Oryctolagus cuniculus: one gene and its partners. The protein of the gene in region 1 binds, or shares a complex with, the protein of each later gene. Links are inferred from orthologs where the notes say so. Each region holds a gene or a part of one and is shown on either strand. Other genes may lie near its edges.

Region 1 (6,706 bases):
TGGAAGGTTCCTCTCTCTTTCTAACTCTGCCTTTCAAATAAATAAATAAAACGTCTTCATTTCTATCCTTTCCGTGTTATGCCTGTGTCTAAGGAAGGGCCAACATATTATTGATTCTTTAATAATCATGTCCTCTCTACCTAATTGCCATGTGTGGAATGAGTATCTTTGGGTAAGTTGTGATACTTCATCTTTCAAATTTTATTTTATTCCTTAACATTTGTGTGCAGGTCTTGCTAAAATACAAAGTGGTGAGCCAGAAAGTTACAAAGGCTGAGAGTAAGGTTTCATTAGTCCCACAGGTGTTCTGCTCCTAGCTATCTGCTGGGAAGCAGCCCCCTGGTGCAGCCCCCCGCACCCCAGCCTGCTCATCTGGACGAACAGACTGGCTGGTTAGACTTTCTTCCAGCAGCAGTAAAGGAACTACAGGCAGCTCAGTGGGCTTCAGAAGACAGATGTGCTTGGGAGCAGGGTTTTCTCGTTTAACCGTTCTGTGCTGCTGTTACAGCTACTTTTACTTATTTGTTGGCAAGGATACTGGTTTGTGAAGGAATGAATCATAATGTTAACAAAGGAAACTTATTAGTCTTTTTGGGTTTGTGCAGTGGAGTCCTGCTTATCTGTGAAATGCAGCTAATGCACCAGCTGGACCTGTTTCCCGAATGCAGGGTGACCCTTTTGTTGTTTAAAGATGTAAAAAATGCTGGAGACCTGAGAAAAAAGGCCATGGAAGGCACCATTGATGGTTCACTGATAAATCCTACAGTGGTGAGTACAAAATGGGAGAATGAAGGCACCACGCAGGCATTTAAGGCTGTGCCACTTTCTCACCATGCTACTGGTTAGCCTACAATCTTAGCATCAAGTGAAAAGTTCTCATCCAACTCAGACTTGGCCAACCTTGAATTTAACAGTGAGTGGACACAGAAGCACCAGGCCCTGCCCCAGGGAAAAGGAAAGGTAGTGTGGCTGACCCCCGTGGTGGACGCCAGGGACCCCAGCTGCTCATCTGTGAGATGAGCGTTGTGAGGAAGCCAGTCTGGAGAGGCGTGGTGCCGCGGTTAAGACGACGTGACCGGGACCCAGCCACAGCTCTGCTGCTTACTGCAGCTCCGAGCAAGTGACAGCCAGCCTTTATGTGGCACTGACGTGCTCCTAGGATTGCTCTAAGTGTCGTTCTTCTAATTCTGACTCACCTTCCCAACAACCTGGTGAAGTGAGTTCTGGCATTTTTTGTCTCTAACTTAGCCAGCTCCCCTAGGTGGGAGAGCTGTGATTCACACCCTGACACGCCACGCCTCAGTCTCCTCAGCTACTACCTGTGAATAATGTCAGTTTCTGTGGGTAGCTTTAGGATTAAGGATCATACAGGTAAAATGTTTTAGAATGGACCTTTCTGATAATATTAGCCCTGGATAAATGTTAAACATTCTTACTGTTTATTTAAAGTTTACTATTCTGATTTTTTTCAGTATCCAGACCTTTGATGTAATAGTTTTGAAAGTATACTCCACAAGAATTGTGATAAGCTAAGGCAGCTTGACACTGGAGCGACCCTGGGATAAGGCCCGTGTCTGCAGGGTGTGCCAGAATCTCTGATTCTTGTTGTTCTCTTTGGTAGATTGTCGATCCATTTCAGATACTTGTGGCAGCAAACAAAGCCGTTCACCTCTACAAACTGGGAAAAATGAAGACAAGAACACTGTCTACGGAAATTATTTTCAACCTCTCCCCAAACAACAATGTAAGGTGGCATTCACTGTTTCTTTTAACCTTGTCCTAATGATCTGTGTGTTCCCCAGACATGGGTCGGAGACTGAGTTCCTGCAAACCAGTTATTAGGAATAGACCAGAATAACTGCAAAGAGAGCTCTGGACAGAGAGTTGAGTGGAGCTCTGCCTCTGAATAGTTGAGTCGGCCTTGGAGCCAGTTTGCTTGTGAGGAAAACAGAAGTTGAGCTAAGCTAGGGAGGCTAGTTTTGTTTGTCCTTCTTAACATACGGGATTGGGAAGATCTCGTCAGTACTGATGTTTAAGAAACAGGCGGAAACCTCAATGACCAGACGTTAGGCACGGACAGTTGATGTGTTAGCAGGCACGTGTTTCACTCTCCCTGTAAACTTCTTGTCCTTTCTGTGTACCAGGAACTTACTGGTGATATGGGCCTTGATGTCTTAATCTTTTTTTTTAAAAGATTTTATTTATTTGAAAGGCGGAGCCAGAGAGAATTCCATCTGCTGGTTCACTCAGCGAATGGCCACAATGGCTGGAACTGCACTGATTGGGAGCCAGGAGCTTCTTCTGGGTCTCCCACAAGGGTGCAGGAGCCCAAGGACTTGGGCCATCGTCTACTGCTTTCCCAGGCACATTAGCAGGAAGCTGGATCAGAAGTGGAGCAGCCTGGACTCGACCCAGCGCCCATATGGGATGCCAGCACTGCAGGCAGTGACTTTTACCCGCTATGCTACAGCGCCGGCCCTGGTATCTTAATCTTTACTCTAGGACTGGCCCCGCACAGAGAGAATTCAAAGCAGAGGCATAATACAGTGCACAAGTGAAAAGTTTTTATTTAAAAGTGAGAGTGAATGTACATGCATGGTGAGTGGGCTGCCCCACACATAGAAATACCTGTCAAGAATGGGCCAGAGAGTGCCCATGAGAAGAGAGAGAAAGAAAGCCAGAGAAGGGTCCCCAAGCATGGCAAAGGGCAAAAGAAGGTCCCTCCTCTGTTATCAGCTGCTTTTATGAAGTAGGGGTGGTGTCAATTAAATAACAAATGGAGGGGAGGTCTTAGCATGCATGAGCTCTCTGAGATTTTTATGGCACATCCACTTCCATGTGGCCATCATGGCTTCTCCTTCTTGGACCTGGATGAGACACAGGTGCATCCTGGGAAGGCAGGCATGGTAGATTGACAGGTGAAGGGATAAAGCCTGCTCATACATCTACTACACAGGAAGAGTCCACAGCTTGAAATACTCACAATAATACTTTCCCAATAAGAGCTAACTGAATTAGGGACTGGCCCTGTGGGGTAGTGGGTAAGCCAACTCGTGTAGTGCTGGCATCCCACATGGGCACCAGTTCAAGTCCTGGTTGCTGCACTTCCAATCCAGCTCTCTGCTAATGTGCCTGGGAAAGCAGCAGAAGATGGCCCAAGTGCTTGGGCCCCTGCATCCATGTGGGAGACCCAGAGGAAGCTCCTAGCTCCTGGTTTCAGCCTGGCCCAGCCCCACCTGTTGGTTGCCATTTGGGGAGAGAACCAGCAGATGGAAAACCTCTCTATGTAACTCTACCTTTAAATAAATAAATCTTTTAAAAGAAAAAGTTATTGAGCTAAAGGCATTCCACACACTGTATATGCAAAAATGCCTGAAATTTTGCTAATGAAGTTTTAGTATTGCTGCTACTACTACTGTTAATAATGCAACCTGGTACTAACAGCATCAAGAGAAAAATTAGGAAACCTGTGGCATGGTCTGAAATACAGATAATTACAAAGTTTGTAAAATGCACTTGCCTCAGCCTGCTAATGGAATTCTCCAGTACCTGGAATACAGTTTACCAGATTAGTTATTTCTTTGAAAACATTTGAAATAATTCACGAAACTGTTCAATGGACATGGAACTTGTCCCATTTACAGTGCCAGGGGCAGAAAATGCAAATATATTCCTGAGGAAAGGCAGATAAACAAGACAAAAGTTAACGTGCCCTACAGTGAATATGGAAATATGATGTTAATTGTCGGGGTAACGGAAGAAGAAGGGTGTGGCAGAGTGGCAGCTGAACCAGGCCTTGAAGCACACATTCGGTGGTCAGGCTGCAGGGAAAGGGGGAGACAGAGTGAAATCTGGCAGGATCCCCAAGCCCGAGAGGCCAGGGGCATGTGGCTAGAGGGTCACTTGGGCCGTGGGAGTGGGCTATTTATGTGAAGTGCCAAGGAGTCTGGGCCTGATTCCATAGGAACCAGGTCGGCTAAAGGCCCGGGGTGCCTTGGAGACCCTAGCAGTAGTTGGTGGAAAGGGACGATTGAGGGGAAAAGCAGGCAGACAGCTGTTTCCAGGTGAAGAAGAACTGTACCAAGGAGGATGGTGGACCAGGAGGTGTTTCAGGTACAGGAAACCCCGACTCATTATCTTGATGCTTTTGGATTTTGTTTGTATTTTTTCTTAGATTTCAGAAGCTTTGAAAAAATTTGGTATCTCAGGAAATGATACTTCAATTCTAATTGTTTACGTTGAAGAGAGAGAAAAACAAATAAATCAAGAAGACCTAATATCTCAAGTGGAAGGGCAGCAGGTTTCTCTGGAAAAGCTTCCTGAAATAACAAATATTACAGAAGTCAAAAAGGTTCGTAAAACTTCACACAATTTTTTTTTTTAAGATTTATTTGAAAGAGTTACAGAGAAGGAGAGGCAGAAGGGAGAGAGAGGTCTTCCCTCTGCCAGTTCACTCCCCAGTTGGCCACAGTGGCTGGAGCTGCATGGATCTGAAGCCAGGAGCCAGGAGCTTCTTCCGGGTCTCCCACGTGGGTGCAGGGGCCTGAGGATTTGCGCCATCTTCTACTGCCTTCCCAGGTCATAGCAGAGAGCTGGATTGGAAGTGGAGCAGCCGGGCCTCGAACCAGCGTCCATATGGGATGCCAGCATTGCAGGTGGTGGCTTTACCTGCTATGCCACAGTGCTGGCCCCTATACAAACTTTTTTAAAAGATTTTATTTATTTGAAAGAGCTACAGAGAATGAGAGAGAAATCTACCTGCTGGTTCATTCCCCAAAATGGCTGCAACAAGCCAGGGCTGAGCCGGGCTGAAGCCACGAGCCAGGAGCTTCTTCCAGGCCTCCCATGTAAGTAGCAGGGGCACAAGCACTTGGGCCATCTTCTGCTGTTTTTCCCAAGCCATTACCATGGAGGATTGGAAGTGAGGCAACCGGGACATGAACTGGTGCCCTTATGGGATGCTGACATTGCAGGCAGTGGTTTTACCCACTATGCCATGACACTGGCCCCTGTAAAACTATATATTTATATAGAGTGTGACAGATGAGGAATGTCAGTGCTGCTTGCTTAGTAATCAACAGTTCACCTATTTTTTTTTTTAATATTTTAAAAAATGTTCAGGGCCTGGCACTGTGGCACAGTGGGTTAAAGCCCCAGCATCCCTTTTGGTTCGAATCCCGACTGCTCCACTTCTGATCTAGCTCTCTGCTGATGCGCCTGGTAAGGCAGTGGAGGATGGCCCAAATGCTTGGGGCCCTGCACCCATGTGGGAGACCTGGAAGAAGCTCCTGCCTCCTGGCTTTGGCCTGGCCCATCCCCATCTGTTGGCGGCCATCTGGGGAGTGAACCAGTGGATGGAAGACCTCTCTGTCTCTACCTCTCTCTGTAACTCTGCCTTTCAAATAAATAAAATAAATCTTAAAAAAAAAAGTTCGATAACTAGAAGGTGCAGGTTTATGTACAGTATAATTAGAAACTTAGTTGATGAACTGTTCTCAGTTAAGAAAGTGTATGCCTTAAGGAGTAGCGTTTGGTACAGTGGTTAAGATGCTGCATGAGATGCCTGCATGCAACATCAGAGTGCCTGCCTGGGTTTGAGTCCCGACTCTATTCCGAGTCCAGTTCCCTACTAGTGTGCACCCTGGGAGGATGCAGATGATGGCTCAAGTACTTGGGTTCCTATCATCCGTGTGCGAGCTGCCAGTTGAGATCTGGGCTTCCTGCTTTAGCCTAGCCCAACTTGGGCTGTTAGAGGCAGCTGAGGAGAAAACTAGAAGACAGAAGATACATCTCTTTCTGCCTCTCAGATAAAACAAAAACAAACAAAAAATTTTATAAAGAAAGTAGATACCTTCAAATCTCAAGCTTACATAGTACATTTAAAATGTAAAATAAATTTAGTATGACATTAATGTCTAGATATATGCTTTTAAAATTGATGTAGATTTGACACTTTGGGTTTTTATGTGCATAAGTGTAGCTTAAAGGGAGTATTAAATATGCGCTGCATTGCTATCTACTTGAAATATTTTAATCACATTTGTGGTTTGTGATTTCGCACCATTTACTCAGTGAATGAGGAGGAATTTCACTTATATATTTCTGTGTAATGATAGTTACTAGTATATGAACATATCAGCAAGTCCTAATGTGACTTTCATCTTTACAGATATATAAACTGTCCTCACAAGAAGAAAGTATTGGGACATTATTAGATGGTATCATTTGTAGAATGTCAACAAAAGATGTTTTGTGACATGTCAGAAATATCAACAGAAATTTTCAGCATTAAAGACAACACTGATTTTCCTGATTATAAAATTAATGTATATTAATTGTATAAAATTTTAAAACAGAATGGTATAAAAAGAAAAGAAAGGCTACTCCTATTTGTTCTTCTTTTAAAAGATACTCACTGTTGTTATTGCTTGTTATTGCCTGCTAGCCTTCCAGTTTTCTATTCAGATATATTTTATTTTTATAATTGGAATAAAAACTGCAGCTACCTGTTGAATGGCTACAGTGTACTGGGTTATTAATTCAGTAATTCTCTGGCCAGCAGTTTGCATCCCTCCCCATTCTGCATGCCCTCTGAGGCCTCTGGATCCTGTTTTGCATGTAGAATTCATTCACTCCTATCAGCAACTTTAAGAGGCAGGTAGAGGTACCACTGTTTACTTATTTACTTTAATTTGTAATTCTTGTT
Region 2 (6,099 bases), on another chromosome or scaffold:
CAAATGGCCACAATGACCAGAGCTGGACCAATCTGAAGGCAGGAGTCAGGAGCTTCTTTTGGGTCTCCCACATGGGTTCAGGGGCCCAAGCATTTGGGCCATCTTCTACTGCTTTCATCAGCAGGGAGCTGGATGGGAAGTGGTGCAGCGGGGACTCGAACTGGTGCCCATATGGGATGCCGGCACTGCAGGTGGACGCTTAACCTACTACGCCACAGTGCCGGCCCCTCACTTGGGTCTTAATGCTGAGTAGGAATTGAGTAGGAAGAAAGGCACTTCTGATACCTGAACAGCTTACGTAGAGGTTAGAATGTGTCTGAAAACCTGGAAGACAGGGTGCTTGAGGAGAATGGAAGGAGTCTTCCTGCATTACTGAAACTCAGGAGGCTTCACTGTCATAGTTTTAAAATTCTACTTGTCTTTGCTGCAGAAAACCCTTATGACCCCTGGCCTGTTCCCATTTTCTAGGATTCCTTCCAGGTGACACTGCCAGGCACCACCGAGCTGTTATCCTAGATCTGCTGCAGGAGGCGCTGAGCGAGGCTGGATTAACCTCCCAGGATATTGACTGCATTGCCTACACCAAGGGTATGACTGGGGGAGGGGTCAGTGTTGGAGGAATGTGGAGCCTGGGTAGGTCAAAATGTCCTCTGCCTTGCCTCTGTCACCACCACAAGCCCTCTCCCGCTTTGACATTCCCTAGTTCCTCACCTGTTTTTTTCCAATCCAGCATTCTGACTACCATTTCTGTCCCCTAGGTCCTGGCATGGGTGCTCCACTAGTTTCTGTGGCTGTCGTGGCTCGTACCGTGGCCCAGCTGTGGAATAAGCCATTGCTAGGCGTGAACCACTGTATAGGCCACATTGAGATGGGCCGTCTCATCACTGGAGCCACCAGCCCAACTGTGCTGTATGTCAGCGGGGGAAACACACAGGTATTTTGAGTACTCCACCTATTTCATCCTACTTTGTGGGCAGTGAACCAGTGACTTCTGTGGCTTACCTGAGTTGTGGGGACTGCCTGTGAAACAGAACTGAACCTAGCTCTTCACCAGAAAACTCACAACAGAGTTCGTAATAGCAGATTTCGACAGGTTATTAAAACTTTAGGTGACTTTTATATATTTGATTATACAAAAAAGATTAGGAATTTCCAATTTAGAAAACAATGATAAGGATTTAAGCTTATATTATTTTGAAGCTTTTTTTTCTGTACATTTTAGCAATTAAAACTAAGGGGCACTACCAATTTATTTATTTATTTTTTTAAGATAACTAGACATTTTGTAATGAAGGTAAATGTAGACTTTGCTATTTTAACACTACAAAATGTAAGTAACTTTAAGAAGCAACTTTATAAATGTTAAAAAGAATTTTACATGTATAGGTGTAGCTAAAATTGCTTGGGATACTTTACATGACCTTTTAAGGTTGGGATTGGATTTCTTTCCCACGGAACACCTAATAGGGTTATTAGAAATAGCTCAGCATTGTCCCCAGCTTATGAAAGGGTTGTGTTCTGAAACTGTTTTGTGAAGTGGTTACTGTGAGGCACACCTTCCTGTGGTGACCATGTGGGAACATGAGTGCGTAGAGGGCAAGTAGTTGAAGCCTGAAGGATGACATACAAGTTTAGGGACTTGGGTTGTGGAAAGCAGCAATAGACACTGTAGGAGTTCATGAAGAGAAGTGGTAAGGGTTCCTCTTCCTCTTCCCTTTCGAATCTTTCTTAGATGTTAAAAGCAAAGATGATGATTGGGTGGTAAGGAATAACTAATAGAAAAAAGGTTTTTTTGCCAGCAAAGAAGTATATCAGAAAGGAAGAAAATCCCTAGTGGCACTGGGAGGGGAAAGGAACTCTCTGGTCCCTGGGAAGCCTGCAGCATGAGACCGTAGGTGCTGGGTATTTGCTGTGTGGAAGTTGGACACATGAAGAACTGGCCTCAGGAGACTGCCATTGCTGGGTTGGGTGGTCCATTGGTCTGACCCCACATAAGGTTTTCTGTTTCATCAAAATGACTTTCTTTCCAAATGCCACTACCGTGGTAGGAATCTAGAATGATTCTTGCTTCCTGTCTCCAAGCAAGATACCTGTTCCTAATCTACACCGGCAGGGTGGCGTCTAAGGAATGTGTCCAACCTGTGAAGCGGAGAAATGTATTTGAAATTATAGCTTGCGGCCGGCGCCGCAGCTCACTAGGCTAATCCTCCGCCTTGCGGCACCGGCTCACCGGGTTCTAGTCCCGGTCGGGGCGCCGGATTCTTTCCCGGTTGCCCCTCTTCCAGGCCAGCTCTCTGCTGTGGCCAGGGAGTGCAGTGGAGGATGACCCAAGTGCTTGGGCCCTGCACCCCATGGGAGACCAGGAGAAGCACCTGGCTCCTGTCAGCGGATCAGCGTGGTGCGCCGGCCGCGGTGGTCATTGGAGGGTGAACCAATGGCAAAGGAAGACCTTTCTCTCTGTCTCTCTCTCTCACTGTCCACTCTGCCTGTCAAAAAAAAAAAAAAAAGCCGGCGCCGTGGCTCAATAGGCTAATCCTCCACCTTGCGGCGCCGGCACACCGGGTTCTAGTCCCGGTTGGGGCGCCGGATTCTGTCCCGGTTGCCCCTCTTCCAGGCCAGCTCTCTGCTATGGCCAGGGAGTGCAGTGGAGGATGGCCCAGGTGCTTGGGCCCTGCACCCCATGGGAGACCAGGAAAAGCACCTGGCTCCTGGCTCCTGCCAGGATCAGCGCGGTGCGCCGGCTGCAGCGGCGGCCATTGGAGGGTGAACCAACGGCAAAAAGGAAGACCTTTCTCTCTGTCTCTCTCTCTCACTGTCCACTCTGCCTGTCAAAAAAAAAAAAAAAAAAAAAAAAGAAATTATAGCTTGCTTCTGCCCTGACCAATCTATCTTCTATAGATTAGGAATCTACTCTGGAAATCCTCAGGGTATGTGGGCTTCTTAGATAAGAGCTATGTTTTTAAAAATCACCCCTTAAGGGTCTGGGGAAGCTGTTTTTTCCATGTTGTCTTTGAAGCTCTGGTGGCTGTGTTGACCCTCTGCTACGTTCTTCCCCAAAGCCAAGTACTCCTCTTTACAGCCCTGAGGTTTCATGGAGATCCTCATCACCTCTAGGTGATTGCATACTCAGAGCGTCGGTACCGCATCTTTGGGGAGACTATCGATATTGCTGTGGGTAACTGTCTGGATCGTTTTGCCCGAGTGCTCAAGGTAAGCCCATGGGGCAGCAGGGAATCTAGATGTGGGTGGATTCCTGGGGAGCTATGGAAGTGAAGGAGGAAGTAAATAGCTTCGTCTTCCCACGTGCCTGACTCCATCCTCTTCCAGTCTTTTTTTTTTTTTTTTTTTTTTGGTAGATTTCCAATGACCCCAGTCCTGGCTACAACATTGAACAGATGGCAAAGAGGTAAGGGAGTGCAAGGTGGAGGCTGGCTGCTAGGGCTTCAGGGCTTGCTCTACATGTACATTAGCGAGATTCGGGAAAGGCTTTGCAGGGTGAGCGCCAGCTGACTGTAGGCTCTGTGCCCTTACTTATCCCCATATAGAGGCAAGAAACTGGTCGAGCTGCCCTACACTGTAAAGGGGATGGACGTCTCATTCTCAGGGATCCTGTCTTTTATTGAGGTGAGTGTGAGAGGTAAGATGGGGGCATTTCTGTGTTTTTTTTTAATGAAGCTTATCTGTTTTACTTTCTGTTTTATGTCTTATATATAGCATAGTCCTGACCTATATCAGGTGCTGAATAAACTCACAACAGTTATTGGCCATCTTCTCTGTGCCAGGCACTGTTCTAGAAAGCAAGGATACAGCAGGGAGCAAAACAGAAATTCCTGCCTACGTGGAGCTTAGATTCTAATGAGGGAGATAGACAAGAAACAAGAGGGGGAAAATAACCTAGAGTACATCAGGAGGGAAAAGTGCTATGAGAAAAATTAAGCAAGATGCATAAGGGGTGGGGTATGCAAGAGCACGCGTTCAAGAAGTAATTCTAGAATCTGGAGTGCTACCAGTTCTTGGTACCAGAGAAGGGCAGGGTGTGGTATAGGATTTGCTCGCAGTGTGAATTGTGGTGAAAGATGCTAATTCTCTTGGCTGTAACTTTTGCTCTCATGTAATCTCCACATCACTGTTACATTGTTCCTTTTTCTCCTTCATTTGCAGGATGCAGCCCAGCGGATGCTGGCCACAGGCGAGTGTACTCCCGAGGATCTGTGTTTCTCCTTGCAGGTAATGGAGTACAGGCTGGTGCAGAAAGTTTGGGCTGGGGGAGGTTTTATACAATAGAGCAGAACTAAGCTGGGATGTCCCTGATATTTGCTCCTTGTCTGTCCCCCACAGGAAACCGTGTTTGCAATGCTGGTAGAGATCACGGAGCGAGCTATGGCGCACTGTGGCTCCCAGGAGGCCCTCATTGTGGGAGGTGTGGGGTGTACGTATCATTGAATGGTGTTGCTCTTTCCTTTTCTTGGCATTGTGAGTCTTAGTCCCATTACTCTAAATGGCCAGGGATTTGGAAAATTATTAGTTTGCTCTCTTGCCCTGTGCCTCCCCATTCTTGCCTCTAGTCCTCTACTTCATTGTCCTAAGTGCACTTAAGATGTGCAGCTGGGTCAGGGAGAGATACCTGAAACTAAGCTAACCCTGTCTCCTGCCTCTTTATAGGTAACGTGAGGCTACAGGAGATGATGGAGATAATGTGCCAGGAACGTGGAGCTAAGCTTTTTGCCACAGATGAGAGGTAGAGACCTTTTCTTGTTCTGTTACTGTGATTTTATGCCCCTAGATCCTAAATCTCATGTCTCTTGCGTCCCAGATTCTGCATTGATAATGGAGCCATGATAGCCCAGGCTGGCTGGGAGATGTTCCAGGCCGGACACAGAACCCCACTCCGTGATTCTGGGATTACACAGAGGTGAGTGATTCCCTCTTTGTGGGGAATAGACAGGCTTGTTTGGGAGGTAGGCCAGAGTCAGCACAGGAGAGAGTCCATTCCTGATGGGGAGACAGAGAAAAATGGAAGGTGGTAAGGGGTAGACCTCCATCAGATTTTTCCTCTTTTTCCACAGGTATCGGACAGATGAAGTAGAAGTTACCTGGAGGGACTAGCAAGATGAACAGGATCAGAGTAGATAGTTTCCTAAGGGGAGCCCACAGGAACCTGGGCCTGACTCTCCTTCCTGACTTGGGAGTCATGGCAAGGCTATGGAATCCAGTCCCCCTGGCAAAGCTGGGGCCTGCAAGCACGGTTGGGAGCCCCTGTGGAACCTTAGGATGGCTCAAAAATAAAGAATTTTTGATTTTATATGTTGATAATTAGATTGTGTTCCTCAGAACAGGGTACAGTCTTGTTGATGGAGTGAACAGATAAGGAGCCGGGGTCAGAACAGCACTGTGACTGACTGTGCAGGTAGCCTCTGGAGGCCTCTGCCCAGGAGCCAAAAACGGGGAGAAGTCATGGGTGCTGTCCTAACGGCTCTCTAGCAATGTTGTTTTAGTATCAGACCCAGTCCTGTCTGCTTTATAGTCATTATCTCATTTGAATTATGTGATGTAGACACTCAGGACTTTCTTCAGGATAGCCTGGAGATAGGTCTGATTACAGCTTGAGTAAAACCGCCCTTGTCCATGCACTTCCTCCCACGCACGTCACATGTGCCTCCATCGGCAGGCTTCCCTCCTGCCGCAGCCACCAGAGTAATCATCCCATTATGTTTGCATGATTATCATCACAACAGGTCTTGAACTGCCGAGTCACCTCATCTCTTTTAAAAAAAAGATTTATTTATTTATTTGAAAGGCAGAGTTACAGAGAAGCAGAGGCAGAGAGAGAGAGAGAGAGAGAGATAAAGGTCTTCTATCCACTGGTTCACTCCCCGGTGGCTGCAACAGCTGGAGCCAGGAGCCTGGAGCTTCTTCCAGGTCTCCCACGCAGACACAGGGGTCCAAGGACTTGGAGGACTTGGGCCACCTTCTGCTGCTTTCTAAGGCCATAGCAGAGAGCTGGATCGGAAGTGGAGCAGCCAGGACTCAAACCAGTGCCCATCTGCGATGCCAGCACTGCAGGCGGCAGCCTTACTTGCTGCGCCATGGCGCTGGCCC
Region 3 (7,158 bases), on another chromosome or scaffold:
GGTGTTCCCCTTAGATGTTCCCCTTAGATGTTCCTGGTGCATGCCGTCTCTCTCCTCCTTTATAGTCCTCCTCCGCCAATCCTAACTCGGCTGCCCACACGCCGAGTACGCTGCTCTCCTCCAATCAGGAGCAGGTCCTGCAGCTTGTCAAGTTGGTGAGAGGCAGCTGGGTAGAAGCTGTTGCCTCCTCTCCCAGCGCCATATTGTGGGAGAGCAGATGCATAGAATAAGTCTTAATTCCAGTAACTCAGTCCAGTCCGGGTTGCTCCCAACAGAAGCTGAACTCAGAAGTGGAGCCAAGGACTTGCATCCAGGTACTCTGATAGGGGATGCAGACATATCAACTGCTGGGTCAAATGCCTATTCCTGTAACACCTTTTATGTATCGATAAATTAATGTTTCTGAAGAATTCTAAGAAAGAGTAAACATTCATGTAGACTTTATTTTTTAAAAAGATTGATTTATTTGAAAGAGTTACAGGGGTCGGTGCTATAGTATAGCGGGTTAAGTCTCTACCTGTGGCACTGGCATCCCATATGGGTGCTGGTTCGAGTCCTGGCTGCTCCACTTCCGATCCAGCTCTCTGCTGTGATCTGGGGAAGCAGTGCAAGATAGCCCAAGTACTCGGGCTCCTGATCGGCCCAGTTTCACTGTTGCAACTGTTTGGGGACAGAACCAGCAGATGGAAGACCTTTCTGTCTCTCTCTGTAATTCTGCCTCTCAAATAAATAAATCTTTAAATAAAAAAGAGTTACGGGGCAGGGGGGGAGTCAGAATCTTCCATCCGATGGTTCACTCCCACACTGGCCACAACAGACAGGGCTGGGTCAGACCAAAGCCAGGAGCCAGGAGCTTCTTCCAGGTCTCCCACATGGGTGCAGGGGCCCAAGGACTTGGGTCATCTTCCACTGCTCTCCCAGTATATTAGTAACGAGCTGGATCGGAAGTGGAGCAAGTAGGACTTGAACCAGTGCCCACATGGGATGCTGGCATTGCAGGCGGGTGGCTTCACCCACTACGCCACAGCACTGGCCCCTCATGCTGACTTTTAAAGATATCAGGAAAAGCTTAGTGCTAAACTTGTAAAACTTTATATATATTACCACTGCATATTTGCTATATAAGTACAGGTCTAAAAGGAAGGAAATATTCAAAAACATTGACAGCAAATGCTGAATGGTAAGGCCAATTGTTTATTTTCCTGTTCTATTTCTTAAATTGTCTACAATTAAATTTTACCTTTAAGATTTATTTATTTGAACAAGTGACACAGAGAAAGGTGTGATGGTTCACCACACAAATGGACCAGACTGAAGCCAGGAACCTGGAACTCTATCTGGGTTTCACACATGGGTGGTAGGGGCCCAAGGATTTGGGCCATGTTATGCTGCTTTTCCAGGGGCATTGGCAGGAAGGTGGATGGGAAGTAGAGCAGCTGGGACTCAAACTGGTACTTATACGGGATGCCAGCAACGTAGGTGGCAGCTTAACCCACTGTCCCTCAACACCAGCCCCAACTTGCATTTTTTTTTATTTATTTTTATTTTTTGACAGGCAGAGTGGACAGTGAGAGAGAGAAACAGAGAGAAAGGTCTTCCTTTGCCGTTGGTTCACCCTCCAATGGCCGCCGCGGCCGGTGCACCATGCTGATCCGATGGCAGGAGCCAGGTGCTTCTCCTGGTCTCCCATGGGGTGCAGGGCCCAAGCACTTGGGCCATCCTCCACTGCACTCCCTGGCCACAGCAGAGAGCTGGCCTGGAAGAGGGGCAACCAGGACAGAATCCGGCGCCCCGACCGGGACTAGAACCCGGTGTGCCGGTGCCGCAAGGCTGAGGATTAGCCTAGTGAGCCGCGGCGCCGGCCCCCAACTTGCATTTCTTAAACATGTGAATCTCGTTTCTTCCACTGCAACTCCAGGACAATGGCAAGGATATTTGTATGTGAAAAGGATATGAAACTGGGAAGAGGTCAGTTTTATTTTCTGTGGTAGCAAACATTTAAGCACTGGTGAAAACAAACAGATCTTGAGCACCCAGAACCCAATGCAGGCAAGCCATTAGGCCCCATCCTGCTTCGGGCATGATCGCCCTAGGGAGACACATTTTCTAGGAGGCGAGCAAGGTAACAACTGGGCCCCTTTACCCAGTCCAGTCTTAGCGGGCAACGGGAGGCCCGAAGCGCTGCAGGGTGCGCACCACCAGGGAAAGCTGCTCAAGAAAGCTGATGATGGAAACTCGGAGGAGGCGAGGATCTTTAGCTGTCCAGCGGCTAAAAGGGAAGGAACAAGAAAATCAAGTCGGGGACAGTAGCTGCCCACATCCCTTGCTCTACCCCTCAGGCATCCAGTGCAGCAGATCCTGGAAGCCCCGGTATTACAGGGCCTCTCGGGCAGCGTCCCAGACCTGCTCCTTAGACTTCCCCCGGAGTGCCTCCAGGCCTCCCAGCCTACCTCTCAGTGGAGAATGGCCACATCCCCTGTTGCCTTCCCCTCACCGCCTCCCGCTCCCCCACTCCTGCCACCCCACCCCCGGCCCCCGGAAGCATTTACACCGCCAGGACGGTGCCGGTCACTGCGAGGTCCTTTCCAATCGCTTCTGGGTGAGGCTCAGCATCTGGAGCCAGGGACTCACAGGCGATTTCTGCCTCCAGACGGGTGGGAAAAGGCACACTGAGGGTACTGGTGGAGGTTTGGTAAAGGCACCATCGGAAGCGACTTTGCCCGAGTCTGTTTCCCTGGCTCTTCTGACGGCTTCCATGACCTCTCTCGGGCGCCCCCCACTGGCTAACGCTTTAATCCCACAGCCATCCGGGCGGCTCCGATTACCCTGCTCTTCTTTCTGTGCTACCGGTCCTCCCACTCGCCCTTCCCACCTTCTGTTCCAGGCTACCCTGCCCCCACCACGGGCAGCCTCCACCCCCTTCCCCCACTGTGCCCCTCCCGCAGGATACAAGGAGTGTGGTCGCATTCCCGGGCTTGCGGCTGCTGTCGCGGCGTCTCCGCCCGGAACGGCAGCGTGCGGTGCCTGCGCGACTTCTCGAGTTCCACGGGCTGCAGCTGCTTCTGTGTCGGTACCATCGGGAAAGTCGCGGCCACGCCGTCCACGCTGGGTGTGAGCGCCGCCCGCCACGCCGCCTGCGCCTGCGTCCGCAGCCTGCATGGCTGCCGCTGCCCCGCCCTCAACCCCACCCTCAGGGCGCTGCGCCACGGCCCGCCATCTCCAGGAGCTTCGTAGATTGCCCGCCCTCCTGAAGCTCCGCCCCTCGCGCACGACCACGTCCACGCGCGCCTGCGCAAACACACCTTTGACGAGGCTGTTGGGACGCCTCGTGAGTTCCCGCGATAGTGGCCCAACGTGGGGGCTCTTGGAGACCCTGGCAGCTTCAGAAACACTGCATTCGTGATTCGATGCTAGTGCGCTAGCCAGAACATACCTCCAGTGAAGCAGGCAGATGCGTGGTCGGTTCCCGACAACACAGCGCTGCTGGTACCCACAGGCCCTGGAGAAACTGAGCTGCAATATATATTTTTTTTAAGATTTATTTATTTTGGGGCCGGCGCTGTGGCTCACTTGGTTAATCCTCCGCCTGCGGCGCCGGCATCCCATACGGGCGCTGGGTTCTAGTCCCGGTTGCTCCTCTTCTCTCCAGCTCTCTGCTGTGGCCGGGAGTGCAGTGGAGGATGGCCCAAGTGCTTGGGTGCCTGCACCCGCATGGGAGACCAGGAGAGGCACCTGGCTCCTGGCTTCGGATCGGCGCAGCGCCAGCCGTAGCGGCCATTTGGGGAGACCTTCTCTCTGTCTCTTTCTCTCACTGTCTAACCCTATCTTTCAAATAAATAAATTTTAAATAGATTTATTTGAAAGAGAAAGAGGTCTTCCATCCACTGGTTCACCAGTTGCCCGCAACTGCCAGAGCTGCGCCAATCCAAAGTCAGGAGCTTCTTCAGGGTGTCCCACACAGGTGCAGGGGCCCAAGGACCGGGGCCATCTTCTACTGCTTTCCCAGGCCACAGCAGAGAGCTGGATTGGAAGAGGAGCAACCATTTCATAGCGTTGCTGGCTACAGCCTTACCTGGTAAACTACAACGCCACCTTGGCTCTAGATTTTTTTTCCGTCGCTGAAGTTTGCCAAATGTATCGTAGTTCCATTGTATCAGTTCGTTCTGTTAGGTAACAAGATCGATCTCAGACTGTGTGTGAGGCTGTTAGGTAGCAAGGGAGAGATTAGCTGTGTGTGTGAAGAGGGCCTAAGGAAAACAAAGCCCTGGTGGAAAGCAATGTAGCAGCCTGGGACGTGCACTTGGGCAGCAGTCCTGTATTTTTTTACACGACAAAGCCCTGTCCACCCCCGTCACTTTATTGGTGGCCCCAGCCTTGCCTCCCAAAAAGGCACCCCAGGAGAACCCTCTGTCTGGCGCTAAGCAGGCTGCTCAGTCTGATAACTGGGTAATAAAACTTTGGGAGGGATTTCACCCATTTCACACCCAGCAAAGCCCTTGCGGGGAAGAGAAACAGGGAAGAACTGGACCCCAGTCCCTCAGAAGGCCCGGTCTCAGTGCGGACTGGGCTCTCAGCTCAGCTCTTGGTTCTTTGGCGCTTGGCCCATCAGGAAAGTTCTAGCCGCTGAACCTTGCCCTCCCCATTCTGAATGACTGGACACTCGCTCAGGTGCCCAGTTCCGACACGTGCCCTGCCTAGTGTTACGCCTTGCTGACGACTCTCTCACATCTGACTTCTCTTTTGCGTGAAGGCAAGAACTTCCATTCCACACAACTCTGCTAACAAGAGGGGCCAGAGAAAGTGGGATTTTTGGTGTGGATGAATGAGAAAAAGTGTAGATGCGAGCCTTGGAAGCAGACCAGCATCTGCACCAGAACGTGCATTCGCACATTGCATCACCTCCTTAGCAGACCCAGCCCTCCCCCAGGGGCAGCTTGAGGGAATTTTTCCCACCTCCAGCCAAGAGGGCTATTAAGGTCCAGCCACACTGTGCTGATGAAGGTCTGGGAGGAATTTCAGGAATTCAATGCCCCGGAAACCCTCCTGGCAGCCTTATCCCACAGAGGGAGGGGGATGGAGAAGCAGAGGGCCTGTATCCAGAAACACTGCGCTCTGGGCATTTAGCATTTGATGGCTCAGGTCCTTGGGCCCCTGCTACCCTTGTGGGAGACCAGGATGGAATTTGAGCCCGTCCAGTGGGGCTGGGGGCACGTGTGCCCCTCAGATATAGGTAAAATGTCTCTAGACCGACCGGCAGCCCCCCCCCCCCCCACTAATAGCTTCTTTGCGCATGTGTGACCTTGCAGCTTTCCATCACACCTTCAGGGTGGGGGGGGGCAATCCTTCACCCAGAGCCGGCAGAGGAGGGGGCTGAGCCTTTAGAGGGAGTCAGGCTGCTTCCAGGAGCCCCCCACTATCTCCATGATTCCTAAGCCAATCAACATATAGTATGTGAAACCACCTCCCATCTGATGGGCACCTCCAATCAAATAAAAGTATCTGCTTCTTTGCATACTGTTTCCTGTTTTTTAATTCTATACTAAAGGGAGGAAAAGAACCTAAGAAACTAACCCCGGCAACAGCACTCCCCTCCACTAGTAGCAGAGTTCCAGGTTCCTGACTTTGGCCTGGCCCAGACCTGGCTGTGGCAGCCTTTTGGGGAGTGCAGCAGTCTCTCTCCCTCCCTCCCTTTCTCTCTGTAACTCTGCCTTTCAAATAAATAAATAAATAAATCCCCCCCCCCCAAGATTTATTCCTTTATTTGAAAAGCAGAATTACAGAGAGGGAGGGAGAGAGAAAGGTCTTCCATCTGCTGGTTCACTCCCCCCAAACAACTGCAACAGTCAGGTCCCGGCCAGTCAGGAGCCAGGTCTCCCACGTGGATGCAGGGGCCCAAGTACTTAGGCCATCTTCCACTGCTTTCCAGGCGCATTAGCTGGAAGCTGGATCAGAAGTGCAACAGCTGGGACTCAAACTGGCACCCACATGAGATGCCAGTGTAGTTAGGAAAATGGCGCAGTTTTATCTATGGCGCAATCTACACCCTGACACCATCCTAGGCTCTAGCCCCAGCCGCCATTGCGGGAAGCCAGGTGGCCACATGGCCCAACCACCGGTGTCAAGCTCCTCCCCCATCCTAATTCGCTGCTCCTGCTTCCCTGCCTGCCCTCCGGAACACGTGGCTCTCTTGGCTCCTCTGCTCTCCTCTCCTCCCCTCGCCTCCTCTTGTCTCTCCTGCTCGCTCTCTCTTCTCTCCTCGCTAGCTCCTCTCCTCTCTGTCTCTCTTATACTCTCCTTCTCTCCCTTTTTCCTCTTGGCCCCTCCCCTCCAGCCTGCGGGGTTTCCCCAATAAACCCCTTTCCCTTACTCCGGTGTTTGGTGTGTTTTGTGGCGGCCTAACAAGTGTCACAAGCGGCAGTTTAACCCACTCGGCCACAACTTTGGCCCTTCTGCAGGTTTTTTTTGAAAAGATTTATTTATTTGGAAGACAAGAGTGAGCGCGCGCGCGAGATCTTTTATCTGCTGCTTTATTCCCCAAATGCCCACAGTAGCCAGGGCTCAGTCAGGCAGAAGCCAGGAGTCGAGAAGTCAATGCAAGTCTCCTACATAGGCGGCAGGGACCCGAGCACTTGGGAATCCTCTGCTGCCTTCCCAGCCCCCTTCGACAGCTTTATGACTGGTGATTCCGTGCACTTACCTTCCACAGCCTGCTCTCCACAGGCTTGAAACTTGAGTTTCCAAGTTCTAGTAAAAATCACATCAGATGACATTCTTGCTTAAACACCAAAACAACCCAGACTTGCTGCTGTGGCTTAGAAAAGCCCATGTGACCTGGATCCCAGCTCCTTTTATGCCTCTCACCTCTCCTTCCTGCCCTTCATTCTCTGCAGCTCCGGGGGCCTGCCCCGCACCCAGCCCTTTGTATGTGTTTTGTGAGGCTCTGCCCCCAGTGTTTCCCATGGCTGACTCCTCACCATAGGGAACTTGGTTTCCACCTCACCTCCCAGAGGCCTCCAGTCACTAGGATAACCCAGTACCCCCAGGCACTCTTCAGCATTTGCTGATTTCACTTTGCTGCATGCTACTCCTAATCATCTTGTTCAGTGCTGGATCTCCAGTACTTAGTAGATGCAGTAGCCACTTTGTTGCTTGTTGAAT

What was found.
Region 2: TPRKB (region 1) and OSGEP share a complex: the UniProt entries of both Homo sapiens proteins name them as parts of the EKC/KEOPS complex. The link is inferred for Oryctolagus cuniculus from reciprocal best matches to the Homo sapiens genes TPRKB and OSGEP.
Region 3: TPRKB (region 1) and LAGE3 share a complex: the UniProt entries of both Homo sapiens proteins name them as parts of the EKC/KEOPS complex. The link is inferred for Oryctolagus cuniculus from reciprocal best matches to the Homo sapiens genes TPRKB and LAGE3.

What each region holds. Positions count from the first base shown.
Region 1 is NC_091433.1:129,229,810-129,236,515, forward strand, and holds the end of TPRKB (EKC/KEOPS complex subunit TPRKB), read left to right. Parts: intron 1-605; coding exon 606-768; intron 769-1,621; coding exon 1,622-1,744; intron 1,745-4,174; coding exon 4,175-4,351; intron 4,352-6,169; coding exon 6,170-6,256; 3' UTR 6,257-6,518; downstream 6,519-6,706. UniProt on the Homo sapiens protein: Component of the EKC/KEOPS complex that is required for the formation of a threonylcarbamoyl group on adenosine at position 37 (t(6)A37) in tRNAs that read codons beginning with adenine.
Region 2 is NC_091443.1:54,299,068-54,305,166, forward strand, and holds the end of OSGEP (tRNA N6-adenosine threonylcarbamoyltransferase), read left to right. Parts: intron 1-468; coding exon 469-588; intron 589-758; coding exon 759-934; intron 935-3,114; coding exon 3,115-3,210; intron 3,211-3,356; coding exon 3,357-3,406; intron 3,407-3,545; coding exon 3,546-3,624; intron 3,625-4,161; coding exon 4,162-4,227; intron 4,228-4,338; coding exon 4,339-4,429; intron 4,430-4,662; coding exon 4,663-4,738; intron 4,739-4,813; coding exon 4,814-4,912; intron 4,913-5,066; coding exon 5,067-5,106; 3' UTR 5,107-5,302; downstream 5,303-6,099. UniProt on the Homo sapiens protein: Component of the EKC/KEOPS complex that is required for the formation of a threonylcarbamoyl group on adenosine at position 37 (t(6)A37) in tRNAs that read codons beginning with adenine.
Region 3 is NC_091453.1:132,704,158-132,711,315, forward strand, and holds LAGE3 (EKC/KEOPS complex subunit LAGE3), read right to left. Parts: upstream 3,247-7,158; 5' UTR 3,160-3,246; coding exon 2,951-3,159; intron 2,679-2,950; coding exon 2,550-2,678; intron 2,270-2,549; coding exon 2,155-2,269; 3' UTR 1,954-2,154; downstream 1-1,953. UniProt on the Homo sapiens protein: Component of the EKC/KEOPS complex that is required for the formation of a threonylcarbamoyl group on adenosine at position 37 (t(6)A37) in tRNAs that read codons beginning with adenine.